Linked DNA regions of Macaca fascicularis. The protein of the gene in region 1 binds, or shares a complex with, the protein of each later gene. Links are inferred from orthologs where the notes say so. Each region holds a gene or a part of one and is shown in the gene's direction. Other genes may lie near its edges.

Region 1 (3,964 bases):
TGTCACGATCTCCGCTCACTGCAAGCTCCGCCTCCCGGGTTCACGCCATTCTCCTGCCTCAGCCTCCCGAGTAGCTGGGACTACAGGCACCCGCCACCACGCCCGGCTAATTTTTTTCTATTTTTGGTAGAGACGGGGTTTCACCGTGTTAGCCAGGATGGTCTCGATCTCCTGACCTCGTGATCCGCCTGCCTCGGCCTCCCAAAGTGCTGGGATTACAGGCGTGAGCCACCGCGCCCGGCCGCGCCACTATCTTTCTTAGGATGTAATTACTGCGTCTAGTATCTCAGGTTAAACTTATTTTTCTTTTTTTTTTTTTTTTTTTTTTTGAGACGGAGTCTTGCTCTGTAGCCCGGGCTGGAGTACAGTGGCCGGATCTCAGCTCACCGCAAGCTCCGCCTCCCGGGTTTACGCCATTCTCCTGCCTCAGCCTCCGGAGTAGCTGGGACTACAGGCGCCCGCCACCTCGCCCGGCTAGTTTTTTTGTATTTTTAGTAGAGACGGGGTTTCACGGTGTTAGCCAGGATGGTCTCGATCTCCTGACCTCGTGATCCACCCGTCTCGGCCTCCCAAAGTGCTGGGATTACAGGCTTGAGCCACCGCGCCCGGCCCAAACTTATTTTTCATGAGACATTTCTGATACCGATACCCTTTGAAATGCTAGTCTTGGCCGGGTGACTAGCCAAGGCGAAACCCCGTCTCTACTAAAAATACAAAAATTAGCCAGGCGTGGTGGCGGGTGCCTGTAATCCCAGCTACTAGGGAGGCTGAGGCAGGAGAATCGCTTGAACCCGGGAGACGGAGGTTGCAGTGAGCCGAGATCGTGCCATTGCACTCCGGCCTGGGCGACAAGAGCAAGGCTCCGTGTCAAAAAAAAAAAAAAAAAAAAAAAGCCAGTCTTTAAGTACAGCGACATGTTAATTAATCAGTTAATTTGCGAGTTAACTGCTAAAATAAAATAAGCAAAAAAATGCCGGTTTCCGAAGGGAGCTGAAAGCTACATACAGCGGCGTGAGGCCTGAGACAACTCAGATCAAAGAAGACAGGGCTGAAAGAAATCTCGCGAGGCCCACGCATCGACCAATATTCGCGAGATTTCGATGCCCTGTCCTTTTCCTCTTTCTGGCAGGACCACGGTTTATCTCGCGAATTTTGGGAAGTTCCGTTGGGGAAGATGGCGGCGGCCTCGAGCACCCTTCTCTTCTTGCCGCCGGGGACTTCAGACTGATCCTTCCCGCGAAGAGTAAGGGACTGCTGGTACCCTGCGTCCTGGAATCCCGAGCCAACTTGTTTCCCCCGTTAGTGGTGGGGAAGGGCTTATCCTTTTGTGGCAGATCCAGTCTCTCGCCGCCTTCAGGATGAAAGCTCAGGGGGAAACCGAGGGTAAGTGACTGAGGGGGAAAGGAGGGGGCGGGACACAACTGGGGGAGCCAGTTTGTGAGAGAAGGTTCTTGCAGATGTCCCATGGGGGCCACTTGAGGGGCACAGAGTCCGGGAGAGGGAATGTGTATGAGTTTTAGATTGTCACTATACCCTCCTTGATGACTATAGAGCTTCGACTTTGGGGTGATGGGGACTCTCAACTTCTGTGAAGATTTCATGCTCGGCTAGGGCACTTTTGGCCTAAAGTGGTGCGAGACGGGGCTAGTGAATACAAAACCAGCTTACATCTCCTTCCAGAAGAGACGCCTGAATAAATTTAGGGCTGTGTGTAAACGTACTGGAGACTATTTTGGCATGAATGAAATGATTAATTCCTTGTATTTATTAGCAGCCAGCGGATCCCTACAATGTCAAGTGTTCAGATCCTGTACTGTTGTGTATTTTGTTTTTGTTTTTGTTTTTTTTTTTTTTTTTTTTTTGAGACGGAGTCTCGCTCTGTCGCCCAGGCTGGAGTGCAGTGGCCGGATCTCAGCTCACTGCAAGCTCCGCCTCCTGGGTTCACGCCATTCTCCTGCCTCAGCCTCCCCAGTAGCTGGGACTACAGGCGCCCGCCACCTCGCCCGGCTAGTTTTTTGTATTTTTTTTTAGTAGAGACGGGGTTTCACCGTGTTAGCCAGGATGGTCTCGATCTCCTGACCTCGTGATCCGCCCGTCTCGGCCTCCCAAAGTGCTGGGATTACAGGCTTGAGCCACCGCGCCCGGCCTGTTGTGTATTTTTAAACTGTGCTGAATTTAATTCTTTTATTGACCGAACTAATAACTGCAGAAAAACAACTTTCCTGGGGAACTTTACTAAGATTTTCTAAAGTTCCACACTCCGGCTTAGATGCTTCCTTGGCATTTTGGGCATAGTTCTGTTGATACAGTGAGCTGTGTTATTGTTTGTTTATCTCCAGTTTACTCTGAGCTTTGCAGATTAGGGTCCTTGCCTGATTCATTTTTATATAGTTTCTGGAACGTAATAGTCGCTCAAAAAATCTTGGAGCATCGAAGTGCAGATATTTATCAGCAGGTTTCTCAAGAAAAACAAGGAGTGTGTTTTGGAGGAGAGGTCGAAAGGTGAGGCCCCGCGGGAGCAGTGACTCACATCTGTAATCCCTGCGCTTTGGGAGGCTGAGGCTGGAGGATCCCTTGAGCCCAGGAGTTCGAGACCTGCCTGGGCAACATAGTGAGGCCCTGTCTCTACAAAAAAATGAAAAATTGCCGGGCGCCGTGGCTCACGCCTGTAATCCCAGCACTTTGGGAAGTCGAGGCGGGCGGATCACCTGAGGTTGGGAGATTGAGACCAGCCTGACCAACATGGAGAAACCCTGGCTCTACTAAAAACACAAAATTAGCTGGCTGTGGTGGCGTATGTCTGTAATCCCAGCTACTTGGGAGGCTGAGGTGGGAGGATCACTTGAACCCAGGAGGTGGAGGTTGTGGTGAGCCAAGATTGTGCCATTGCACTCCTGCCTGGGCAACAAGAGGGAAACTTCCTCTCAAAAAAAAAAAAAAAAAAAAAATTGGCTGGGCGTGGTGGCTCATTCCTGTAATCCCAGCATTTTGGGAGACCAAGGTGGCGGATCACCTGAGGTCAGGAGTTCAAGACCAGCCTGGCCAACATGGTGAAACCCTGTCTCTACTAAAAATACAAAATTAGCCCGGCATGGTGGCATGCCTGCAATCCCAGCTACTTGAGAGACTGAGGCAGGAGAATCACTCAAACCCAGGAGGTGGAGGTTGCAGTGAGCCAAGGTGGTGCCACTGGACTCCAGTCTGGGCAACGAGAGCAAAACTCTGTCTCAAAAATATAAATAAATTAATTAAAAATAAATAAATAAATAAAATAAAAAATAAAAAAAATTAGGGCCAGGTAGTGACTCAAGGATGTAGTCCCAGCACTTTGGGAGACCGAAGCAGGCAGATCACTTGAGCTCACAAGTTGGAGACCAGCCTGGACAACCTGGCAAAAGCCTGTCTCTACAACAAATATAAAAATTAACTAGGCATGGTGGCACAAGCCAGTAGTCTCAGCTACTTGGGAGGCTGAGGTGGGAGGATTACCTGAATCCTGTAGGTCAAGGCTCCAGTGAGCCAGAATTGTGCCACTGCACTCCAACCTGGGTGACAGAGCGAGACCCTGTTTCAAGGAAAAATTAGCTATAGCCCCAGCTACTCTGAAGGCTGAGCTGGGAGGATCACTTGATCCTGGAGCATGGGAGGTCGAGGCTACAGTAGACCTTGATTGTGCCAATGCACTTAAGCCGGGGCTGCAGAGTGATGCTCTGTCTTAAAAAAAAAAAAAAAAAAGAAAAAATGTACTCCTCAGGTGCAAGGGGAGAAGGGTAAAAATGGAAACTTTGTGAAGTAGGAGTTTTTGTCTGGTTTGTTCACTGCTGTCTTTTTAGCAATTTCATTTATTCTTTTTCTTTTTTTAAAAAATTTTCCTCTCTAACCCAGTTCAATAACTTTTTTTTGACACAATGTCTCCATCTGTTGCTCAGGATGGAGTAAGTGGTGTGATCAAGGCCCATCTCTG
Region 2 (4,086 bases), on another chromosome or scaffold:
GGCCTTCCGGGCTGGGCTGGTCCCTGCCGAGGCTACGCAGCCCGGCCACCCCCAGACCCAGAGGAGGCCAACGCCACGCCTGCCCGCCGGACCCTCCCCCTCGGATCTCAGGGCCCAGTGCTGCGTCCGCCCGCCCCTCACCTCCGGCTCGGGGCGCTCCGAGGCCATCACACAAGCCCTCCCGCGCCGGCCCGGGCCCGTGTGTTCCACTCTTGACCCCTGACCTGGCTACCTCGGCACCCGGAAGGAACAGGAAGTGGGTGGGAGGGCCGAGTTCCAGTTTTCTGATTGGTGGACGAAGCCTTCTCAGAGGCGTTTGCTGACAGGAAACCGGAAGTGGAAATCGTTGCAGTCGCCTCGGCCGCCGCAATGCAGGTGAGAGCCGCGTTGGGAGTGCTAGCGGCTGGCCAGCTTCGGCTACAGGGAGCCAGAGTGGGCTGGCTAAGGAGAATGAAGAGTTGGGACTGAGAAAAGAGGGCAGAACCCACGGCTGATAAGGGAACGTGGGTTGGGGGGCGAGGTTAATTGGAGAGGGAGCGGCGCAGATGAGAGGTGGGGGTGGAGCTCGCCTGACAGAAGGCGGTCGGGCTAAATCCGGAGGGAGGAGGCAGCACTGACTTGCTTGGCGTGGGAAAGGATTAGGTTGTAATACGGGGAGGCCGAGATGCAGTCCAAGGAAGACGGCTCAGGAGGTGGTGGGTTGGCTCAGGCCCTGTCCTAAGCTGCTGGATGGAGGCTGTTGGATGCCGATATAGCAGGGGATCTAATTGGAAAGAAGCCCAAGCAGTGAGGGAATTGTGGGCCGCGGTGTCCGAAAGCTAAGCAGCTTGTAATGTGAGGCCATGGTGGAACCCAGGATCAAGTTCCTGTCAGGCACCTTAGCAGGTTTGCAAGACAGTTTTGCATCACTCTTCCCAGCCTGTGCCCTATAGTTGTTAAGGGTGAAGAAATGGAATAAAACAGGATACCACCGATGGGAAGGAAATGCTTTGCAGACCCCCGGCATTTTAATTTGTTTGTTCAGTGCTTAGAAGCATGTGCGGTTTTGGTTTTCATTTGTCACTTAGTTTCCTGCAGCTGGTAGTCTCAAGAAATGTTATTGGGTTGACCGAGCTTGTGAAAGAGGCACGGGAATATTGACACAGAGATAGATGGGTGCATATTAATTCAGCGAGGAGAAGGTTGAAACATGAAATGATGAGAGCAGATGGAAAGCTGGAGTGGTTGGTGGGGGGAGGGAAAGAGGAGAGCAGGGCTGGTATTCAGAGAAGTCTTCATGAGTAGGCAGATTTCCCAGAGACTGACAAGAGAGCCAGGCTCACAAATGCTAGGATGGAGGAAGCTGGAGTGCATGTGCTACAGAGGTGCACATGAGATAATGATCTGGCATTAGGTTTGTCGAAAATGTCTCAATGAGGGAGTGTAGGGTGTACCTAATACAGAGAAAAACCAGGCATAGATTAGGAGCGGATGGGAAAAAGGAATCAGTTGGTGGAAGTACTTGGGTCAGGCAAACGGTTGAAAGGTCTCAGGGTTGATGCTGTCTATAACCCAAATACCACAGATAGGAAACAACCTGGTTATCCTATGCCAATGAGATCCTGTTACCTGACTGGTGTTTGCACACCATCTCCTTGGCTTTTCAGCCCTCCTTTCTATGTGTCATACTCGTTTATCTGGGTAACCAACCTGTTCCTATTGGTGCAGAGAGAGGAGAAGCAGCTTGAGGCATCATTAGATGCACTGCTGAGTCAAGTGGCTGATCTGAAGAACTCACTGGGAAGTTTCATTTGCAAGTTGGAGAACGAGTATGGCCGGCTGACCTGGTAAGGGTTGCCAGGGCAAGCTAGGGAGGGCTTATGGGTGGGGGGGCCTAGCCTTCTGATGAATAGGACACTTCTAATGATGTAACCATTTATCAGTTTACAAACATCTTTTGATTTGGAAAGAGCTGGGTTTCGTAACATTTAGCAAGTGGCTTCCATGGCAAGGAAGTAGAGAAATGCTCGGTTTCCTAACCCAAGTTCATTATAGCTTTCAATTCTTACCCTTTGACTTCTCTGGTGAGGAGGTCCTCCTATTACAGCTCTATTTGTGCTGGATCTCTTGCCACAAATATGGCTGAGTCCTTTAGATCCAACCTACTCTGAAGTGTGGATCCTATTTCCAGGCTGGAAAGAAGGATTTTACCGGGTTTCTGAAGTTTTAGTTATAACAGTATAGTCCTATTTTGCCACTGTTCCTCACCTCATTCAAACAATGAACTGGATTTTTTCTACATCTGTTTCATAAACTGAAACTATGTCCCTCTTTCATAACCCTGTCATCCTTGTTAGTTTCTTCCCACTTAGGCTAGTCATAGGGCTATGAGACTTTTGGGGATAAATCCGAGTGTTCCTAGCCTGAAGGAACTAGGACTATTTTACTAAGAACCACCCAAGGAAGGGGTGGAACATTCTGACACCTGCTTACTGCCAACAGGCCATCTGTCCTGGACAGCTTTGCCTTGCTTTCTGGACAGTTGAACACTCTGAACAAGGTCTTGAAGCATGAAAAAACACCGCTGTTCCGTAACCAGGTCATCATCCCTCTGGTGTTGTCTCCAGACCGAGATGAAGATCTCATGGTAAGAGCAGAAAAAGAATACAACTTGGGAAATTAAGGAGTTTTTTAGGCTTCTTTACTATTTAGGGAAATTAAGTTCTTAGCTGAGAACTTAGAAATAATTTTGGAGGCCTTGCTTTTTGTTCTTCTGAAGGTGGGAGAGCCACTCCCAAATAGTGTTGTAATAACCTGAGGGGTATGTCACCAAGGCTGGTACCTTCCTTCTCCAACATCTGTCTCAAGCCACAAAGTCTGCCCTTTGGTGACTTTGTCTGTTTCAGTCTTTGAAACGTGGCAGACAGTGATAGTTTAATTTGCCTCTAGGTCTGGTAGAGATAGGGATGTGAGAAGACACAAAAAATGAAGGCTGGAGTAAAGGAGATTGTGTCCTAGGAAACTAGATATTATGTCTTAGGTTGTATTTTCCTTGAAAATGCACTGTTTGCCTGTGGATGGGACTGTATATCAGGCCAGATAGAATCTTCTTGGAGTGCATAGTAGGATCAATAAAATCTGTGTGTTGCAGCGGCAGACTGAAGGACGGGTGCCCGTTTTCAGCCATGAGGTAGTCCCTGACCATCTGAGAACCAAGCCTGACCCTGAGGTGGAAGAACAGGAGAAGCAACTGACGACAGATGCTGCCCGCATTGGTGCAGATGCAGCCCAGGTTGGACTGAGTCACTGCCTTGCTGCCCCATCCCCATCCCATCATGAGAAGCTAGGCATTACCATTCCTGTCTAGTAGGGATGCATAGTTGGTTGCACCTAAGCTGCTTCTGGCAGAACCCAAGGAATAAATTTGTCCATATCGTTTCCTAGTTACCCTAATCTCTGCACAAATTTGTGTGTTACAGAAGCAGATCCAGAGCTTGAATAAAATGTGTTCAAACCTTCTGGAGAAAATCAGCAAAGAGGAGCGAGAATCAGAGAGTGGAGGTATGGTGGACTGGTGGCAAAACAGAGAAGGAGAGGTATATAAGATCACTGGAATGGGAATGGTTGTTTCGAGAGTAGTGAAGTTAGGACACAAGAGTGAACTGCTTTAGGGTTTGCATCCATTCTGTTAGCCTTTTGTATTTAAGGCCAACCCTGAAGCAGTGGAGGAAATGGGCAAAGTAAGAAGAGAGAATTCTGAGATAGGCTTGGGGGTCCTCTGGCTCTTTTTATGGGCTGTGAGGGAGTCTAGATGCTGCTGAATTCAGAACTCTAAACCCTGGCACTCATACTGGTCTTCCAGCTGCCACGTTCAGTCCTGCATCAGAAACATACTTCAGGATCCCCACTTACTTTTTCTTCAGGTCTCCGGCCAAACAAGCAGACCTTTAACCCTACAGACACTAATGCCTTGGTGGCAGCTGTTGCCTTTGGGAAAGGACTGTCTAACTGGAGACCTTCAGGCAGCAGTGGTCCTGGCCAGCCAGGCCAGCCAGGAGCTGGGACGATCCTTGCAGGAACCTCAGGATTACAGCAGGTGCAGATGGC
Region 3 (4,024 bases), on another chromosome or scaffold:
GGTCCCCGAGGCCCGGTCCCCCAGCCGGGCCTGCAGCCCAGCGTCATGGAGGACGACATCCTCATGGATCTCATCTGAATCCCCAACACCCAATAAAGTTCCTTTTTAACACACGCCCCGGCTCCCGTCACTGACATCCCCCAGGACTGGGCAGGAGGAAACCCCAGGGGGCATCTCTGTCCTTGTTCTCACTTCAGCAGATATCCCTGGGGCCCTGGGTGGGTGACGCCGGGGCCTCCGTGGTGAGTCAGAGGCAGTCTGGTGCAACCTGGTTCGTGGGAGATGCAGGGACAGGCAGGCAGCGCTCAGGACTCAAGCTCTCATGGAGGTGGCGGGGCACCATGGGAGCCTGGAAGAGGTGTCTGACCCAGCCCCAGCTCCTCAGTCTTGAAAGAGAATCAGCTGTCAGGCCGGGAGGGAAGGAGGTGAGGGGTGATCTGGGTGCAGAGAACAACAGAAACTTTGAATACTCAAAGACAGGAGGAAGCCTGGGATGTTGAGAGGAGCAAATTGATGGATGCTTTTGGAGCATGAGCGTGTAGGGAGCTCATGTGTAGAGAGATGGGCAGGTGCAGAGTTTGAGGAGCTCAGATGCCAAACTGAGCAGCCCGTGGTTTGTCCTGGGGACACAGGAGAACCAGGAGACTTTGAGCGGTGGGGCGGGCTTAGGCCGGCTCTGGATGTCAGAAAGAGCCCTCTCAGCTGTGGAGCGTGATGAGACCAGACAGGAGGCCAGGAAGGGTGAGGCTGGGTGGTGGGGATGCTGGGGACTGGGGTAGAGGTTGGCTTCTGGGGTCAGGCCTACGTGATGGTAGGTGGTGGGGCTCCTGGGAGAAGGAGCTGGTAGTAAGTGTACGTGGTCCAAGGGACGTCCAGGTGACAGGTGCCATTTTGGGAGCTCAGGACGTGTCCTTAGAGGACAGTGTATGTTTGGGGTTCAAGCCACAGAAGCAGACAAGATCGCACATGGAGAGAGGGTGGTCCCTGGGTCCACATCAGAGACTGACCTTCCAGGGCTGTGGACGGGAAGACGGTGGGTCTGTCCCCAGGATGGAATACCCAGCAGGGAACAGGTTTGGGATGTGGCAAGGTGAGGGACCTAAAGGATGGCCTCAGAGACATCCTGAGGGCAGGGGATCCAGACAGGCTTGGAGCGCAGGGCGGTCTCTCCTGGAGGTGGAGAGTGAGTTGTCTGTTGTCGGACTCTGGACCAGTGTTGCTGAGAGCGCGGTCCATGCCTGGACCACCAGCATCCACATCATTTTGGATGCTGGTTAACGTACAGATTCACAGGCCCCACCCCAGGAGAGAGATTGCAATCTGGTGGCCTATGGGCCATGGTGCAGATGAGTTTTGTTTGGCCTTCCCTGTGTTAGCATATGTGGCATTTTTTTCTTGAGTTAGTTATAAAAATCAGGTTAATACACACACACACACACACACACACGCAAAATCTGCAGTCTTGGCATCTTTTGACAAGTCAGAAGAATTGGCACCCCTGGGCCCGCCCTTCTGCCTGGCAACAACGGGCTGGAGCTGCCCCTCTCCATGGGGCGTGTGCTCTCCGGTTCGCCACAGTCCCCACCACTCCCTCTTGGCTCCCCTGTGAGGCAGAGAGTCACTGCCTTTGTCACGGGGCTTGCACTGTGGTTGTTCTGTGGTAGCATTCAGAGGAAAGTGAAATCTTTCTTGTACTCATGTCTGTATCACAAGCGGCAAAACGAAAGAGAGAAGGAGAGGGCCGCGTGTTTCGAGAAAAGTGGGAGCGAGCCTATTTCTTTGTGGAAGTGAAGAGCATGCCTATGTGTTTAATATGCAAACAAATCGTGTCTGTGTTGAAAGAATACAACCTGAAACGCCACTACGAATCAAAGCATAGCAAGAGCTACGACCAGTACACAGAGCAGACTCGAGACGCCATCCTCAGCGAACTGAAAAAGGGACTCAAATGTCAGTAGGGTTTGTCTTGAAAAGCGAATTAACAGAAGTGGTGCGGCAGTGGTACGCCGTTCCGGAATCACGTGAGAAGAATGACCTGGGCATTCAGAGCTACAGCAGATGGCGAGTTGATAAAGGAGCAGAGTGACGTGTCCTTTACAGAAACACATGACTGTTGAGACCATTATTTAAGTCTAACGGGCATTTGCGTTGCACAGTGAGTTGGAGATAACTCGGGGGATTTAGAAGTCCAGTTGCTTGAAAGAGTCAAATTGATTGTGGCCTTTTCTTTCGCTGCTCATAAACTATTACCACCCAGTTAGCTTTATTTATTTGTGGTGTTAAGAAACTTGATGTGACTGAAGAAGTCTGTGGCATGGTGCCAAGGCGGGCCCAACACTGGGAAAGGACTCATTTTTTTTTTTGTATATTGAGAGAAAAGTTTCACATAGACTGGCCAGAGTTCTGAAGCACAACTACAGACAGCTGTCATGACAGGGGGACTTGACAGGACACCTTGAGCCAAGGTGACAATTTGGCAAGGACACGGAAGTCGGGTCGTTGCATCCATCATCAGGAGTTGACTTGTTCTGAGCAGCTGAACAGAACACACCGTGACGCTCTCGACACTTCCGCTCCTGGGCTTTAGTCACGAGTGAGTTGATGATGACTTGACCTGAGAGATTTCACAGAAGCTCTGTGACTTGGTTGTGGAAGAAATTGAAACTGTACAAGTTAATCAGCTTGGTTCATTTTAAATCAAGCAAAAGCCACAGTGGGTTCCCCTGAGAAGGTTAGTCAAAGACTTCTGGTCAAGGTTATGACCGTTCTGAACACTGAATATTTCTCTGCAAGGATGTCCACAAACAGCTACTTGAATGTAAGATGGTATATGCTTGGTCCTGGCAAAAACGGGGAATCCACCAGCAAGGAAAAAAAACATTTACTCTTTCCTACGCCACAGTTGGCTTTCAGAAGTGAAAGACGTGGCCTGGACTATATTCACCTACGTCCTGGGGTGGAAGACCAAATTCCCCCAAAGGCCCTCGGAATCCAGACTCATGAGAAGGAAGAGACACTGTCCAGTTTGCCTTTGTTGGTAAATGTTTCTTGTGTGAATACAGACCATAAATAGTAATTGAACTATGGTGCAATACGGCGCTGGTTCCTAAATACAAGTCTGTGTGAAGATGGTGAGATTCTACAACTATCTCCAGTAGTTGTCCTGAATATCCATGTTTGGGAGTACCCACGCTTGTGAACAGCTGTTTTCCGTTACGAACCTGAATCAAATTAAACATTGTTCCCAGTTTAAGGATTCAAGGCTGAATTCTAAACTGCCCATCCCCACCGTGCCACCCCAAGGCCTGACACATCTCGGTGTGGAAGGGAAGACGCCAGCCTTTTGGCTTCAACTCAAAGGCGCAAAAAGAATTATGAAAGAGAATTTTAATAATTAAATATTTCTATTTTTCAATTTGTATTTTTTCAATTTTGAATTTAAAAATATAAACTCCAGTATCATCCATGTTTGTATTATGTTCCATGCATTCACCATAGTTCAGTAAAGATCCGATTTGATGATATTTCTGGCCGTCGACTTTTCTTATACCTGGCTAGTTCACTCATTTATGTGACCCGCCTGGCCCCTGTAGGCATGTGAGTTTCCCATCCCTGCCCTGGAACTGCTGGATCCAGCGGGGGGAGGGCGGGGGTGTGGGAGTCGTGTGAGCAAGCTCTCTAGGCGATCCTCAGGAATGTGCGTGTGGAGCAGGAGGCACTGGTGACAGCGAAGAAGTGAAAGTGGGGGATTTCCCAGGCAGCCTGTGTAGCAGGGGTTTTTGAAAACTCAGATGGCTTCAGGGACCAGGCAGGTGATGAAAATGTGTGAAGCGGACGGGTGTAAGACAACAGGGAATGATGGGGACTGTGGCGAACTTGGAGAGTGCTTGCCCCGCCTAATGGCATTCAAATTGAAACCAAAAACACTGTGAGGACCAAACAAAATCTGCCTGTGGGTCTAATGAGGCCGCCAGGCCGCCATTTTGCGACCTCTGGAAGAAGGAGAAGACTCGAGAACAAGGAC
Region 4 (4,163 bases), on another chromosome or scaffold:
GCTTTGCCTTGGCCCTTACATGCTATATAGCAGAGGGTAAAGTGCTTTAAGTTCATGTTCTGAGCAGTCCCTCCACCCATTCCAAGGAAGCACAGCAAGGAGCTTGGGACACTTCTCAAAGAAAGCCCAAAGATTTCTTTACAACTTATTTTTTACAATTCCTTTACAGTAGCCCCAAAATTTTATCCACTTTCGCATCCTCAGGATCAAGCAGAGTGCCTAGAGTGTACACTCTAGAAATGTTGATTGAATTAAGAAACGGCTGACAGTGTGTGCAGGTAGTGTGGCCACAAGAATAGTTTCAAGTCCCAGGCACTCATTAGTTGCATGACCTGGGGCAAGTCGCCTAAATATACCAAGATCCATTCCTTCACCAATGAAACAGGACTACTACTACTTGCCTTCCCTACCTTACTGGCTCCTCAGGAGGCTTTACATAATGAGCGGCACTGTAAGATGCTATACACGTATATGTACAGTTTTGACAGGGCTGTTTCTTAGTCTAAATGGTGAAATGGAAAGAAACCTGGACTCAACAGTCAGAAGCTGTTGGGCCGTTGTACAGGGCTACGACTAACAGGTTCCGTTTTCCCATATTAAACACAAAGTTTAGTCTCGACGATGTTTCGGACTCTGCACTTTACAGTCTGTTAAATCCGCTACAGGCTCGGAACCTCAGGTGTCCTCAGAAAGGTAAACCCCAGGGTTCCCAGATGCACCTGCAAGGGCAGGGACAGTCAAGGTCGCGGTACTGAGACGCGGGACGCTCACCCAGTCAAAGTCACACGGGTTACCGTCTTCGCGTTGGGTGGGCAAACCGTCGCAGAGTGGCGGCAGTTTCCTCACGAGTAGGAAGGCAGCAGAGAGCAGGGCCGACAGAAGGTAGTAAGGTTGGGCAAGCCATCGTGAAAGTCGCGGCACCGAATACACCAGAGCAATTAGAGGAGCCAAGACCGCCATCTTTTCGGCCGCAAGGGCCACTGCTCACCGGCGTCGTAGGTCCGGCCCCGCCTCCCCCACCATAGCGACTGCTATTGGGCTACATCTCAAACGTACGGCCTCTAAACCCGGATGTAGTTCTGTCAACGCTGTGGTATGTCAGAACCCAAAAAAGAACTTAATATCTTATTGGTTGGTCTAGCTGTCGCTTTATCAGCTTAAGTCATTTTATTGGACTGTAGCTAACGTAGCTAGCAGAAGACTCTAATAAGGTTAAATAGCACTTCCTGAACGTTCTCAGAGAGCGACGGAAGTAGTTGTTGAAACAAGGTAGGCGGTGCCTGAGGCATCCAATGACAAGCGGTTCCTTGAGAAAGAGGTGGGTATTCCTTAAAGGCATTGTCCAATGAAAATTACCAACGCCAGACACCGAGACAGCGCCGGGGCGGAGGGGACGATGGAGAATTTCACGGCGCTGTTCGGGGCTCAGGCTGACCCACCACCGCCCCCAACCGCACTAGGCTTCGGACCAGGAAAGCCTCCACCCCCGCCACCGCCTCCTCCGGGCGGGGGACCCGGCACGGCTCCGCCTCCCACCGCGGCCACGGCCCCTCCCGGCGCGGACAAGTCAGGAGCTGGCTGTGGCCCTTTTTACCTCATGAGGGAACTGCCAGGTGAGTACTCGGCCTTGCCAAAGCCAGCCAATCAAATCTTAGAGAGGAGGTGTTGGGCGTGGCTCTCAGCCGGCTAACGGAGGTGCGAGGTAACCTAGGCAACGCATACCCGGACTGTGGAGCCCTAAGTCGAAAGGGCTATTAGGATTCACAAGCAGAGGGATGAGTTGAATTCAACCAAAGGGATGAATGGCGGGGAGCGGGGTGGTGCATCTCCGTGACTGTCTTTTGCACCATGTCCAGGCTGTGTTCCTGACACTGGTTTATGTCTCCCTAAAAAATTATCTAGGGCTGGGCGCAGTGGCTCACGCCTGTAATCCCAACACTCTGGGAGACGGAGGCGGGCGAATCACCTCAGGTCAGGAGTTCGAGACCAGCCTGGCCAACATGATGCAACTCTGTCTGTACTAAAAACACAAAAATTACTTGGGCGTGGTGGCGTATGCCTTTAATTCCAGCTACTCGGAACCCGGGAGGCGGAGGTTGCATTGAGCCGAGATTGCTCCACTGCACTCCAGCCTGGGCGATAGAATGAGACTCCGTCTCAAAACAAAAACAAACAAACAAAAAATCAAGAGTTTGAGTTTGGAACTCGAGAGGCCTGATTTAATATCTTTGGGGACCTAAAGTTTTAGTTACAAGTCTCCCACAGACTTGCTGTGGGTTTGGGGCAAGTTGCCACTCTTCCAAGATTTCTGCGTTTCCTGGTGTCATCAAAGAAGGGGTAAGAATCGAACCAAACTCTTTTCATTCAAAAAATTATTTTGTTGAGTACCTATGTACCAAGCACTTTTCTAAATGCTGGAGATACAGTTGTGAACGAGACTGACAAGATGCTTGCCTTTTTTGGAATGTACATTTCAGTGTAGGAGGCATTGTAAACAAGATAATGTCAGAGAGTGGTTAATGCTAGGAAGAGAAAACATTATAAAAAATTGAAGGTGGCCAGGCGCATTGCTCACGCCTGTAATCCCAGCGCTTGGGTAGGCTGAGGCAGGAGGATCCCTTGAGCCCAGGAGTTTGAGACCAGCCTGGGCAACATGGCGAGACCCAGTCTCTACAAAACATACAAGATTAGCCGGCCGTGGTAGTGCTTGCCTGTAGCCCCAGCTACTCAGGAGACTAAGGGAGGAGAATTGCTTGAACACAGGAGGTCCAGGCTGCAGTGAACCAAGATTGTGCCACTGCACTCCAGCCTGGGCAACAGATGAGACCCTGTCTCTTAAAAAAAAAATTGAGGGGCAGAACTACTTTAGCTAGAGTGGCCAGAGATGCTCTCTCCACATAGCTAAAATTTGAACTAAAATGTAAGCATAGACAAAGGGCCAGCCAGCTATGGACAGGAGGGAGAGATAATTCTAGATACAGGAAATGAGGTCAGAAACCCTGATGTGAGAAAAAGCTTAGAATATCTGAGGGACAGAAAATCAGTTGGACTCCAGTGAAGTGAACAAAAGGAAAGAGTGTTAGGAGAGAGATGAAGCTGGGAGAGTTAGGCAGAGGCTTTTATAAAGCAATAAAGGCATTTAGATTGTAAATACAAAAGGAAGCCATTTAAAACAATTTTTTATAGAGACAAGGTCTCACTGTGTCACCCAGGCTGGACTGCAGTGGTACAGTCATAGCTCACTGTAACCTCCAATTCCTAGGCGCATGCTGTCCTCCCACCTCAGCCTCCCAAGTAGCTAGGACTGCAGGCATGTGCCACCACAGTTGGCTAACTTAAAAATTTTTTGTAAAGACTGGGTCTTACTGTGTTGCCCAAGCTGGTCTTGAACTCCTGGCCAATGACAGTCCTCCCACCTTGGCCACCCAAAGTGCTAGGATTATAGGCCTGAGCCACTGTGCCCAGCCAAGGAAAGCCATTTTAACATAGGAACTTGGTCAAATGTACTTATTTAGAGAAGTAAATGGATACAGGGTGTTAGACGTAGAGCTGACAGGGTTGAAAAGCTGAATATAGGGCCAGGTGCTGTGGCTAACGCCAGTAATCCCAGCACTTTGGGAGGCTGAGGTGGGAGGACTGCTTGAGCCCAAAAGTTTGAGACCAGCCTGGGCAATATAATGAGACCCCATCTCTACAAAAAATAAAAGTAAATTAGCTAGGGATAGCAGCGTACACCTGTAGTCTCAGCTACTTAGGAAGCTGAGGTGGTAGAATCACTTGAGCCCAGGAAGTTGAGGCTGCAGTGAGCTGTGATTGTGCCACTGTGCTCCAGCTTAGATGATAGAGGAAGAAGCTGTCTCAGTTAAAAATACATATTGTATATAGAAGTGAAGGAGATAGAAGAATTGATGCCTTTTTAAGTTTTCAGCTTGAATAATTGGGTGTATGGGTATGAGACTTGGAAGATGAGGAAGGAACAAGTTTGAAGAGGTGGAAATCGAGTTGTTTTGGACATGTTTGGTCTCCAAGATGCTGCCTTTCTCTCTCTTTTTTTTTTTTTTTTTTTTCTCCTGAGACAGAGTTTTGCTCTTGTTGCGCAGGCTGGAGTGCAATGGCGCAATCTCGGCTCACTGAAACCTCCGCCTCCCAGGTTCAGGCGATTC
Region 5 (4,199 bases), on another chromosome or scaffold:
GCGGTTGCCCACGCCTGTAATCCCAGCACTTTGGGAGGCAGAGGTGGGCGGATGACGAGGTCAGGAGATCCAGACCATCCTGACCAACATGGTGAAACCCCGCCTCTACTAAAAATACAAAAATTAGCTGGGCGTGGTGGTGCGCGACTGTAGTCCCAGCTACTTGGGAGGCTGAGGCAGGAGAATCTCTTGAACCTGGGAGGCAGAGGTTGCAGTAAGCCTAGATAGCGCCACCGCACTCCAGCCTGGGTGACAGAGCAAGAGTCTGTCTCAAAAAAAAAAAAAAAAAAAAGAAAAAAGAAAAAAAAAGAAAGAAAAAAAAAAAAGAAAGAAATCGCTTGATCCAGGCCGGGCCTGGTAGCTCACACGCCTGTTAATTCCAGCATTTTGGGAGGCTGAGGCGAATGGATCACCTGAGGTCAGGAGTTCCAGACCAGCCTGGCGAAATCCCCTCTCCACTAAAAATACAAAGATTAGATGGACGTGGTGGCACGCGCCTGTAATCCCCGTAATCCCAGCTACCGGGGAGGCTGAGGCAGCAGAATCACTTGAACTCGAAAGGTAGAGGTTGCTGTGAGCCAAGATTGTGCCACTGCACTCCATCCTGGGTGACAGACCCAGACTCTGTCTCAAAAGTAAAAAATAGGCCGTGCGCGGTAGCTCACGCCTGTAATCCCAGCACTTTGGGAGGTCGAGGCGGGCGGATCACGAGGTCAGGAGTTTGAGACTATCCTGGCCAACATGGTGAAACCCTATCTCTACTAAAAATACAAAAATTAGCCGGGCGTGGTGGTGCGTGCCTGTAGTCCCAGCTACTCCGGAAGGAGGCTGAGGCAGGAGAATCGCTCGAACTCCTGGAGGCGGAGCTTGCAGTGAGCCGGGATCGCGCCACTGCACTCCAGCCTGGACGACAGAGCAAGGTAAAAAAAACAAAAAACAAAAACAACAACAAAAAAAACTTGATCCGTGAGAACAAAGTCATCTTCATTTATTTCTCTTTCCAATCACAGGTAAAATAAGTCACAAAATCTTTTATTTTATTACAATGCCATTGTTCTGTTTTTGAAGTCCTGGAAGAGGTAATAACAGAACCCCGGAACTCAGCCACTTCGCCCAGGTTAGACCCCTACTCAGCAACTCCAGTGCTGAGGACAGGAGACCGAGCGCCGTGGGCCCCCGGCCAGAACCGGCAAGACGCTCTCGCGAGAGTCTTCCAACCGCCGTGAGCTCTCGTGAGCACTAGTTCTCTTCTATCTCAGCGCCCCCACAGGTCAGCACCTCCCCGCCGGCTCCCTCCGCTACCGCGGGCCGGAACTTTTGTCGATAGGAACGGGTTTGCACAGTTGAGTGTTGTCGGCCGGCGTGAAGGAGACTAGGGGGCCATCCTCTTCCTTTCGCCGTCGCCGCCGCGGAGCGGAGTCGAGCCGAGCTGATTTGATCGAGGAGCGCGGTTACCGGACGGGCTGGGTCTATGGTCGCTCCGCGGGCCGCTCCGCCGGCTGGTGCTTTTTTATCAGGGCAAGCTGTGTTCCATGGCAGGGAACTTTTGGCAGAGCTCCCACTAGTAAGTGATCTTACGTCTTCTCACCTGGGGCCGGTTTTTGGGGGGCTGTGAGGAAGGGGCCTGCGACTCCCTTGGGCCTGGATCCCGGCTCAGTTCCGAGTGCCGGGGTCCTCAAGGGAGACGGCAGCGGCCAGAAGCAAGATGCTCTTTTCTGAGGCGACTCCCCTCCCCGCCCCCAGCCCGTTTCGGGGAGGGAAGGATCTGTGAGGGGGAGGGGTGGGAGAGAGTTTAGTCTCCCAGGAAGGAACGTTTCAGAGTTTAATTTCGGATTTTTAGTTTAACTAGGCCGCAGGGGGTCGGATAGAGTGGGCACAGGTACGGGAAGTGTGACTCAGCTCAAGACTGTGAGGCTACCTGTTCAGGACAGTTGTGGCGTGCTTTTGCTTGGGATTTCTTCGGGTGATTGGCGTCGTGGTCTTTTGTCATTCACTGTATATCTTGAGTGGATTTAATATTCTGAGGAGAGGAGAGAGTCTGGCTTGTTTCTGCCTACTAACCTCTTCTTGCCAGTACTTTATGTCTAGATGGAGTTTTATATTGATAAGGTATAGGGCAGGTGCCCTGTAAACTTATCCATTTCATTAGCCTGTGCCTTATATTTTGTTTTAAAGGCGTATTTTTCCAGTGATTTTGTTTCTCTATTTCTTTAACCTTTTTCATGAATAAGTTCTTGTTTCTGTCAGTGACTATGTGAGAGCTAGAATAATATTAAAAACATTTATCTCTAAATACATTTGTTTAAGCAGGCAGGAAGATGCGTGATGGGGTTAATTGAACATTGAGTAGGCTTTCCACTGTATAGTTGAAAGATGAACAGAACTTGACAAAGAAGGTATCTTAGTATAATTTTTTATGCTAAGAAAGCATTAGTAAGTAATTTAAATTTCGATTCTGTGAATAGGATCTGTTCCTGATGTTCATTTTTTAGCCCTTTGCAAGGAGAAAAAAGAAACAATGAACTCGGTAACCTATTTAAGGAAAAGCAGGTTTTCCTCTTGCTATAAAGTGATTCTGTGGAGATGACATGTTAAAGAGGCAGGCAACTGATCATATGTGTATGTGTGTGTATATATATGTGTGTGTGTGTATTATATATATGTTGCATTGTTTTCACACACTGAAATATTGCTTGGGCAGAATTAAAGTATCGAAAGTTTAGGTATTGGAGTTAGAGCTCCTGAAAAAAAAATTTAGGTAGTGGAGAAGAGAGATTCTGATAAACTTTGAAAGAAGCTGAGAGAATTGACAAGTAGCTGACTGTTGATTTGTCAGTTTTTCAACTTAAAAAAAAGCTCCTACCTTTTTTCAATGGTGTTCTCATTATGCTTTCATTTATTCATAGCGTTATAAAAACATTTTTTCACTTTTCAAATATAAAATTATTACAAAGTTAAGTGTACTTCTTTGAAACTATTCTCCCAATTCAAATACTCCTAAAAGAAGGGATCACTTTGCCTTGCTCAGATCCCTTGAGCAGTCATAGAGTTTCTTATCTGGAAAAGGTAACAAGTATGGAAGACAAGACAATTCTGGAAAAACAAACAAAAGATTTTGAAAGGCCATTGTTTTAGCTGAATTTGGTGAAAGAGGGCAATTGACATTAAATATGCTATATTTCATGCTTCTAAGATGCATATTTTCACACTTTAACATCTTTGAAATGAGCATGGCAGTTTCTTTCATAGCATATGAAATAATGATGAATCCAAGATGTAATCTTAAATTTGATGAAATGCAGTATTTATAAATTTTTTTAGTTTATCCTGCATACACAGCTCTGAGGAAAATTCATAAAATGTTTGTGAAATTTATGAAATTTATCTTTTTAAAAACATAAAATGACTCTGTGGGGATGAAATTAATTAGCAAACCACAATGTAGTTGAAGTAGAACAAAACACAGTCTGTGACCAAAATGAACTAGAAGGGGACTAAGTATTTGCTGGGTTGATTGAATGCATTAATGAAGGAGTAACAAAAATAGAAACTACAAAACTAACTGTGGATACTTTATTGTGTGAAAAAGGAAACTGAAAATACAGTTACTTAATATCTATAAAATAACATCATAATATTACCATATATGGAATGTAACCAAAGCTTGAATGTATTAGAAAATCAATATCCTGAATAATTGAGAGATAATAGAAATATTCTATTTAATAATACTAAGAAGGAAACATGAAATAAGCCTAAAGAAACAGGAAGAAGATCTAAAAATAGATAACGCTGATGCTAATATATTAAAAGGAAAAAAATTATAAAAGATCATTCTTAGAGTAAACAAAAACAGTAGACGAAACTACTGCTAGTTAAATCAGGGGAGAAAGGAATGATACAAAAATACAAAATTAGGAATGAGAAAAGTAAACCCAAGGGTACTTTTGGGTTATCTCCAGGGTTTTAAATTTGAAAGCCAAAGCAAGTTAAGAGTATTACCCAAGAGCTATGCCTTATTTCATGGGTAAATACATCTTTCAAGAGAATCTCCTTTTGAAATTGTTCCATTTCATACAGAAAGAAGAAAAGCTTTCCTTTACAAAGCCATGATAACACTTACAGAAAAATCTAGTAAAGGGAACACTAAAAACAGTCTCACTTTTGAATACTGATGCAAACATTGTAAATGAATTATT
Region 6 (3,500 bases), on another chromosome or scaffold:
GTGGGCTGGTCTCAAACTCCTGACCTCATGATCCACCCACTTCAGCTTCCCAAAGCGCTGAGATTACAGGCGTGAGCCACCATGCCCGGTCTCTCTTTCTTTTTCTTTCTTTCCTTCGTTCTTTCTTTTTCTCTTTCTCTCTTTCTCTCTTTCTTTTTCTATTCTATTCTATTCTATTCTATTCTATTCTATTCTATTCTATTCTATTCTACTCTACTCTTTTTTTAGATGGAGGTCTCACTGTGACACCCAGGCTGGAGTACAGTGGCAGCACAATCTCAGCTCCCTGCAGCCTCAGCCTCCCAGGGCTCAGGTGATCCTCCCACCTCAGCTTCCCAAGCAGCTGGGATTAGAGGTGCACACTGCCATGCCCAGCAAATTTATGTATTTTTTGTAAAGACAGGGTTTGACCATGTTGCCCAGGCTGGTCTCAAACTCCTGAGCTCAAGTGATCTGCCGACCTCAGCCTCCTAAAGTGCTGGGATGACAGGCATGACCCACCGTACCCAGACCACTGTTACATTTTCGTATGAATAGTCTCACCACATCAAAAAACCCCATGCTTCACCTATTCGACCCTGCCTCTCCCACCCCTAGCCAGCTCAGAAATGGTTCTTTTTACCGTTGCTATAATTTTGCCTTTTCCAGAATGCCATGAATTTGAAGTCATATAGTATGTAGCCTTTTCAGACTGATTTCTTTTATAACAATATGCATTTAAGAGTCATTCATGTCTTTCCATGGCTTGATACCTAATTTCTTTTTACACTGAATGAAGTCCCACTGTCTGTTTGTACCACAGTTTGTATATCTATTCACCTATTTAAGGGCATCTTGGTTGCTTCCAATTTTTGGCAATTAAGAATAAAGCTGGCCGGGCGCAGTGGCTCACACCTATAATCCCAGCACTTTGGGAGGCCAAGGGGGGCAGATCACTTGAGGTCAGGAGTTTGAGACCAGCCTGGCCAACATGGTAAAACCCTGTCTCTACTAAAAATACAGAAATTAGCTGGGCATGGTGATGGGTGCCTGTAATCCCAGCTACTTGGAAGGCTGAGGCAGGAGAATCACTTAAACCTGGAGGCAGAGGTTGCAGTGAGCTGAAATTGTGCCACTGCACTCCAGCCTGGGTGACAGAGTGAGACTCTGTCTCAAAAAAAAAAAAAAAAAAAAAAAAAAAAAAAAAAAAAGCTGCTCTAAACTTGTGTAGGTTTTGTGTGGACAGAAGTTTCCAAATCAACTGGACAAATACCTACGAGTGTGATTCCATCATACAGTAAAACTGCTTTGCTTTGTCAGAGACTGCCAGAATGTCCTCCAAGGGGGCTGTCTCATGTTGCACTCCCACCAGCAATGAATGGGGGTTCCTGTTGCTCCACATCCTCACCAAATTTGATGATGTCAGTTTTGTGGATTTTGGTCATCCTAGTAGGTGTGTGGTGACACCACATTGTTGTTCTCATTCTCAATGCCCCAATGACATATGATGCTGAGCATCGTTTCATATGCTTACATGCCATCTGTATATCATCTTTGCTGAAGTGACTGTTCAGATCTTTTGCCCATTTTTTTTTTCCTTTTGAGACGTAGTCTTGCTCTGTCACCAGGTTGGAGTGCAGTGGCATGATCTCAGCTCACTGCAGCCTCCGCCTCCCGGGTTCAAGCGATTCACCTGCCTCAGCCTCCCAAGTAGCTGGGACTACAGGCGCACGACACCACGCCCGGCTAATTTTTGTTATTTTTAGTAGAGACGGGGTTTCACCGTGTTAGTCAGGATGGTCTCCATCTCCTGACTTCGTGACTGCCCACCTTGGCCTCCCAAAGTGCTGGGATTACAGGCGTGAGCCACCACACCTGGCCGCCACACGCAGCCCCCATTTTTCAATTGAGTTGTTTGTTTTCTTATTGTTGTTTTAAGACCTCTTTGTATATTACCACATGTGTATTGAAAATATTTTCTCCCAGTCTGTGGCTTGTCTTTAATTTTCTTAGCAATGTGTTTTGCAGAGCAGAAGGTTTAATTAGCTTTCATAAATTCCAACTTATATTTTCTCTTTCATGGATTATGCATTTGGTGTTACCCACACAGATTTTTATACTGTATTCTGGTGCCATTTACTGAGTTGGCAATTGTGGAAGAACTGGAAGGAAAGAAGCAAACAAAAAGAGTTCTGTGTGGCACTGTCAGCGCGGGGGCACGGGGAGTCCTGCAGGGTGAGGTATGGGCGAGATGGTCTGGTGATGTGTGCAGCGGAGATGTGCGGTCCCCGGATGTGCAGATCAGGAGATGTGTGGGTCTGATGTACCGGTCTGGAGAAGTGCGGTTCCCAAGATGTGCGGTCCGGAGATGTGCGGGTACCCAGAGGTGCAGATCGGAGATGTGGGGGTCCGGAGATATGCGGATCAGGAGATGTACCAGTCCCGAGATGTGCGGATCAGAGATGTAGAGGTCCCGAGATGTGTGGATCCGGAGAGGTGAGGGTCCCAAGATGTATGGAGCAGGAGTTGAGGGAGTCCGGAGATGTGCGGAGCGGAGATGGGGGGATCAGGAGATGTGGAGGGCCAGGAGATACGCGGGTCCGGAGATGCGCAGATCAGGAGATGGGCGAATCGGAGATACGTGGGTCCAGAAATGTGCGGAGCGGAGATGTGCGAATCAGGAGCTGTAGGGGGTCAGGAGATGCACGGGTCCAGAGATGCGGGGGTCCGGAGATAGTGGGTCTGGAGATATGCAGAACAGAGATGAGCAGATCGGAAATGCACGGGTCCAGAGATCCACGGGTCCAGAGATCTGCGGTTCCGGAGATGCACGGGTCCGGAGATGCGCAGGTCCGGAGATGAGAATCTGAAGATGTGTGGATGGGAGATGTGCAGGTCCGGAGATGCGCGGGGCGGCGATGCGCTGATTGGAGATGCTCGGATCAGAGATGCTCAGATCGAAGATGTCGGAATGAGGAGATGTGCAGGGCGGAGATGTGTGGATTGGAGACACTCGAGTCCGGAGATATGCGGGGCGGAGATGCGTGGGTCTAGGGATGCGTGATCTGAGATGTGTGGGTCCGGAGCTCGGGGTCAGCTCAGCAGCAGTCGGAGCGAGCATGCTGGCTTTGGGAGCACAGCACAACGGCAGCTGTAGGAGTGCAAGAGGGTGTGACCCAGAGGCAGGGCCCGGCCCTGCATGGGTATTCTGAGGTTTACGCCTCAGCATTAGATGCCTCATATGCTAAATCACATCCTCGTAGACCCGGTTCAGACACAGGATAGTGATGCCTGGACTATTCATCTGTCTCTCCTCTTTTTCCCCAGACACGCTTTCACCAGCTTCGAGCCCCTCCTCGGTGACTTATCCTGTGGTCCCCGGCAGCGTGGACGAGTCTCCCAGTGGAGCATTGAACATCGAATGTAGAATCTGCGGGGACAAGGCCTCAGGCTACCATTACGGAGTCCACGCGTGTGAAGGCTGCAAGGTAGAGGGGACCTGGAACAGGGCCCGGTGGCTG
Region 7 (3,500 bases), on another chromosome or scaffold:
TAGTCATAAGTGACTTTATGACTAGTTAGGTAAATATGAAGGAGTAGTGGAAAACAAGTCAGTAGAGTTGACTTAGATTGTTGAAAGCTTCAAAACAGCCTGAGTTGGAGGTTTACCTTGAAGACAGTGGTGGAGTAAGCTCAAATGTTTTTATCAGGGTAAAATAAATAACCTGGTGAACTGGCAAACAACAAGAAGGCTATTGTAATAATTCTGGTGTGAGATAATTGGTTGAACTAAGCAACAATAATGATAGAAGGAAAAGAGGAAGATTTGTAGTATTAGCATAATTTGAAGATCAAAGGAAAGCAAGAATCTGAAGTTAGACTGGTTGACTAGGAGACTTTCAATACAAATTAAATATTAAACAGAGGAAACAGTTGCCTTTGAGTTCTGTCATTGAAACAATGGCAGAGAAACCCAAAGGAAATGCTTATTAGAAATAGGAGGTTTGAGAGGTCAAGACTAGGTGAGAGAAATTGGTGGGGAGGATAGGTGTATTTAATTTGGAGATGGTAAGGAATTGATATTCTCCATCTTTAAAAGTACTTACGGAGTACTTTTAGAGTACAAGAGTTTAAAAATTGAGTCTTGAACAGATACATTTCTGATTACTCAAGGTGCTTTTCTGAGCAGCCTTTTCCCCACTATTTTTTTTACACTTATAACTACTCCAGTCTCAGAAAAGGAATCATATACTTTGTGCATGAGTAATAAATTTTTATTAAACGTGATGCCATACTTAGATATTTACAAGTCAAATTTGCTCTTTTCCATCACTGTCCGCAAAAAGTCTTTACTTGTGGCTTACAATAAGTATTGGCCAGTGTTCTCTTATCATTTTACTATAACAAGAAAAGAAAGATTGTTTTGTATTTCAACTGTTCCAACTAGATTTATATCAAATTTTACTTCACCTAGATTGATACCAAACTTAGTTTCTTTGCAGAATTAAAACATGTAATCAACTGGCTTATTTTATCAACAATTACTCCTTTCTGTTTTATTCCCTTGCTCAGAGATTAGCATTACAGAAACTTATTGTTGTTGCTGTTACCAATAAAGTCCTTAAAACTGATAAGTCCTTTCTAACCTCGACATGTTTTCTTTGGCCTAAGCTTGCAGATCAGTTTTGTAATGCCATTGGAGTATTGCAGCAATGTGGTCCTCCTGCCTCTTTCAGTAATATTCAGACAGCAATTAACAAAGACCAGCCTGCTAACCCTACAGAAGGTAAACAGATTTTCTTAGCTTCTCTTATTTTGACTCTCACATTTTTTGTTATCCTTTAAAATTAGATTTCTTGAGAAATTCAGCTTATTTTGTTTCTAAAAATATTGTTACTTGAGGATATTGCAAGTTTTGTTTGTTGTAAAAAACTTAGTCAATTCACCTAACATCTCATAATTCTGGTTCATGTCAGATAATAGATTGTTACTCCTTTAGAGGAGAATTTGTATTAATTTAGCTGAGTGAGGGACCTTAACAAGGAAGGCATCCCATTTATAAATTTTTTTTTTTTTTTCTAAATCTTTTTTTTTTTTAAATTTATTTATTATTATTATACTTTAAGTTGTAGGGTACATGTGCATAACGTGCAGGTTTGTTACATATGTATACTTGTGCCATGTTGGTGTGCTGCACCCATCAACTCGTCATTTACATCAGGTATAACTCCCAATGCAATCCCTCCCCCCTTCCCCCTCCCCATGATAGGCCCCGGTGTGTGATGTTCCCCTTCCTGAGTCCAAGTGATCTCATTGTTCAGTTCCCACCTATGAGTGAGAACATGCGGTGTTTGGTTTTCTGTTCTTGTGATAGTTTGCTAAGAATGATGGTTTCCAGCTGCATCCATGTCCCTACAAAGGACACAAACTCATCCTTTTTGATGGCTGCATAGTATTCCATGGTGTATATGTGCCACATTTTCTTAATCCAATCTGTCACTGATGGACATTTGGGTTGATTCCAAGTCTTTGCTATTGTGAATAGTGCTGCAATAAACATACGTGTGCATGTGTCTTTATAGCAGCATAATTTATAATCCTTTGGGTATATACCCAGTAATGGGATGGCTAGGTCATATGGTACATCTAGTTCTAGATCCTTGAGGAATCGCCATACTGTTTTCCATAATGGTTGAACTAGTTTACAATCCCACCAACAGTGTAAAAGTGTTCCTATTTCTCCACATCCTCTCCAGCACCTGTTGTTTCGTGACTTTTTAATGATCGCCATTCTAACTGGTGTGAGATGGTATCTCATTGTGGTTTTGATTTGCATTTCTCTGATGGCCAGTGATGATGAGCATTTTTTCATGTGTCTGTTGGCTGTATGAATGTCTTCTTTTGAGAAATGTCTGTTCATATCCTTTGCCCACTTTTTGATGGGGTTGTTTGTTTTTTTCTTGTAAATTTGTTTGAGTTCTTTGTAGGTTCTGGATATGAGCCCTTTGTCAGATGAGTAGATTGCAAAAATTTTCTCCCATTCTGTAGGTTGCCTGTTCACTCTGATGGTAGTTTCTTTTGCTGTGCAGAAGCTCTTTAGTTTAATGAGATACCATTTGTCAATTTTGGCTTTTGTTGCCGTTGCTTTTGGTGTTTTAGACATGAAGTCTTTCCCCATGGCTATGTCCTGAATGGTACTACCTAGGTTTTCCTCTAGGATTTTTATGGTATTAGGTCTAACATTTAAGTCTCTAATCCATCTTGAATTAATTTTTGTATAAGGAGTAAGGAAAGGATCCAGTTTCAGCTTTCTACTTATGGCTAGCCAATTTTCCCAGCACCATTTATTAAATAGGGAATCCTTTCCCCATTTCTTGTTTCTCTCAGGTTTGTCAAAGATCAGATGGCTGTAGATGTGTGGTATTATTTCTGAGGACTCTGTTCTGTTCCATTGGTCTATATCTCTGTTTGGTACCAGTACCATGCTGTTTTGGTTACTGTAGCCTTGTAGTATAGTTTGAAGTCAGGTAGCGTGATGCCTCCAGCTTTGTTCTTTTGACTTAGGATTGTCTTGGAGATGCGGGCTCTTTTTTGGTTCCATATGAACTTTAAAGCAGTTTTTTCCAATTCTGTGAAGAAACTCATTGGTAGCTTGATGGGGATGGCATTGAATCTATAAATTACCTTGGGCAGTATGGCCATTTTCACGATATTGATTCTTCCTATCCATGAGCATGGTATGTTCTTCCATTTGTTTGTGTCCTCTTTGATTTCACTGAGCAGTGGTTTGTAGTTCCTGTTGAAGAGGTCCTTTACATCCCTTGTAAGTTGGATTCCTAGGTATTTGATTCTCTTTGAAGCAATTGTGAATGGAAGTTCATTCCTGATTTGGCTCTCTGTTTGTCTGTTACTGGTGTATAAGAATGCTTGTGATTTTTGCACATTAATTTTGTATCCTGAGACTTTGCTGAAGTTGCTTATCAGCTTAAGGAGATTTTGGGCTGAGACAATGGGGTTTTCTAAATATACAATCATGTCATCTGCAAACAGGGA

What was found.
Region 2: MED1 (region 1) and MED8 share a complex: the UniProt entries of both Homo sapiens proteins name them as parts of the mediator complex. The link is inferred for Macaca fascicularis from reciprocal best matches to the Homo sapiens genes MED1 and MED8.
Region 3: MED1 (region 1) and MED25 share a complex: the UniProt entries of both Homo sapiens proteins name them as parts of the mediator complex. The link is inferred for Macaca fascicularis from reciprocal best matches to the Homo sapiens genes MED1 and MED25.
Region 4: MED1 (region 1) and MED19 share a complex: the UniProt entries of both Homo sapiens proteins name them as parts of the mediator complex. The link is inferred for Macaca fascicularis from reciprocal best matches to the Homo sapiens genes MED1 and MED19.
Region 5: MED1 (region 1) and CCNC share a complex: the UniProt entries of both Homo sapiens proteins name them as parts of the mediator complex. The link is inferred for Macaca fascicularis from reciprocal best matches to the Homo sapiens genes MED1 and CCNC.
Region 6: the proteins of MED1 (region 1) and PPARA are in contact, whole or in part, in a crystal structure (PDB 9IWM), measured with the Homo sapiens proteins. The link is inferred for Macaca fascicularis from reciprocal best matches to the Homo sapiens genes MED1 and PPARA. Residues at the interface, in NP_004765.2 of Homo sapiens: Asn638, Thr639, Asn641, His642, Pro643, Met644, Leu645, Met646, Leu648, Leu649, Lys650; in NP_001001928.1 of Homo sapiens: Val284, Thr285, Thr288, Glu289, Lys292, Phe297, Leu302, Asn303, Gln305, Val306, Thr307, Leu309, Lys310, Pro458, Leu459, Glu462, Ile463.
Region 7: MED1 (region 1) and MED21 share a complex: the UniProt entries of both Homo sapiens proteins name them as parts of the mediator complex. The link is inferred for Macaca fascicularis from reciprocal best matches to the Homo sapiens genes MED1 and MED21.

Annotation. Positions count from the first base shown.
Region 1 is NC_088390.1:60,495,343-60,499,306, reverse strand, and holds the start of MED1 (mediator of RNA polymerase II transcription subunit 1), read left to right. Parts: upstream 1-1,164; 5' UTR 1,165-1,358; coding exon 1,359-1,383; intron 1,384-3,964. UniProt on the Homo sapiens protein: Component of the Mediator complex, a coactivator involved in the regulated transcription of nearly all RNA polymerase II-dependent genes.
Region 2 is NC_088375.1:191,388,151-191,392,236, forward strand, and holds the start of MED8 (mediator of RNA polymerase II transcription subunit 8), read left to right. Parts: upstream 1-1,286; 5' UTR 1,287-1,470; coding exon 1,471-1,826; intron 1,827-2,481; coding exon 2,482-2,626; intron 2,627-3,130; coding exon 3,131-3,271; intron 3,272-3,458; coding exon 3,459-3,540; intron 3,541-3,902; coding exon 3,903-4,086. Other genes in the region: KICSTOR complex protein SZT2, read right to left, coding at 142-168. UniProt on the Homo sapiens protein: Component of the Mediator complex, a coactivator involved in the regulated transcription of nearly all RNA polymerase II-dependent genes.
Region 3 is NC_088393.1:57,821,044-57,825,067, forward strand, and holds the end of MED25 (mediator of RNA polymerase II transcription subunit 25), read left to right. Parts: coding exon of another isoform or gene 1-78; exon of another isoform or gene 79-113; intron 114-1,713; coding exon 1,714-1,958; 3' UTR 1,959-3,524; downstream 3,525-4,024. UniProt on the Homo sapiens protein: Component of the Mediator complex, a coactivator involved in the regulated transcription of nearly all RNA polymerase II-dependent genes.
Region 4 is NC_088388.1:15,892,852-15,897,014, forward strand, and holds the start of MED19 (mediator of RNA polymerase II transcription subunit 19), read left to right. Parts: upstream 1-1,363; 5' UTR 1,364-1,396; coding exon 1,397-1,613; intron 1,614-4,163. Other genes in the region: TMX2 (thioredoxin-related transmembrane protein 2), read right to left, coding at 772-960. UniProt on the Homo sapiens protein: Component of the Mediator complex, a coactivator involved in the regulated transcription of nearly all RNA polymerase II-dependent genes.
Region 5 is NC_088378.1:75,740,290-75,744,488, forward strand, and holds the start of CCNC (cyclin-C), read left to right. Parts: upstream 1-1,399; 5' UTR 1,400-1,532; coding exon 1,533-1,564; intron 1,565-4,199. UniProt on the Homo sapiens protein: Component of the Mediator complex, a coactivator involved in regulated gene transcription of nearly all RNA polymerase II-dependent genes.
Region 6 is NC_088384.1:5,378,399-5,381,898, reverse strand, and holds part of PPARA (peroxisome proliferator-activated receptor alpha), read left to right. Parts: intron 1-3,306; coding exon 3,307-3,467; intron 3,468-3,500. UniProt on the Homo sapiens protein: Ligand-activated transcription factor. Key regulator of lipid metabolism. Activated by the endogenous ligand 1-palmitoyl-2-oleoyl-sn-glycerol-3-phosphocholine (16:0/18:1-GPC). Activated by oleylethanolamide, a naturally occurring lipid that regulates satiety.
Region 7 is NC_088385.1:29,780,043-29,783,542, forward strand, and holds part of MED21 (mediator of RNA polymerase II transcription subunit 21), read left to right. Parts: intron 1-1,118; coding exon 1,119-1,233; intron 1,234-3,500. UniProt on the Homo sapiens protein: Component of the Mediator complex, a coactivator involved in the regulated transcription of nearly all RNA polymerase II-dependent genes.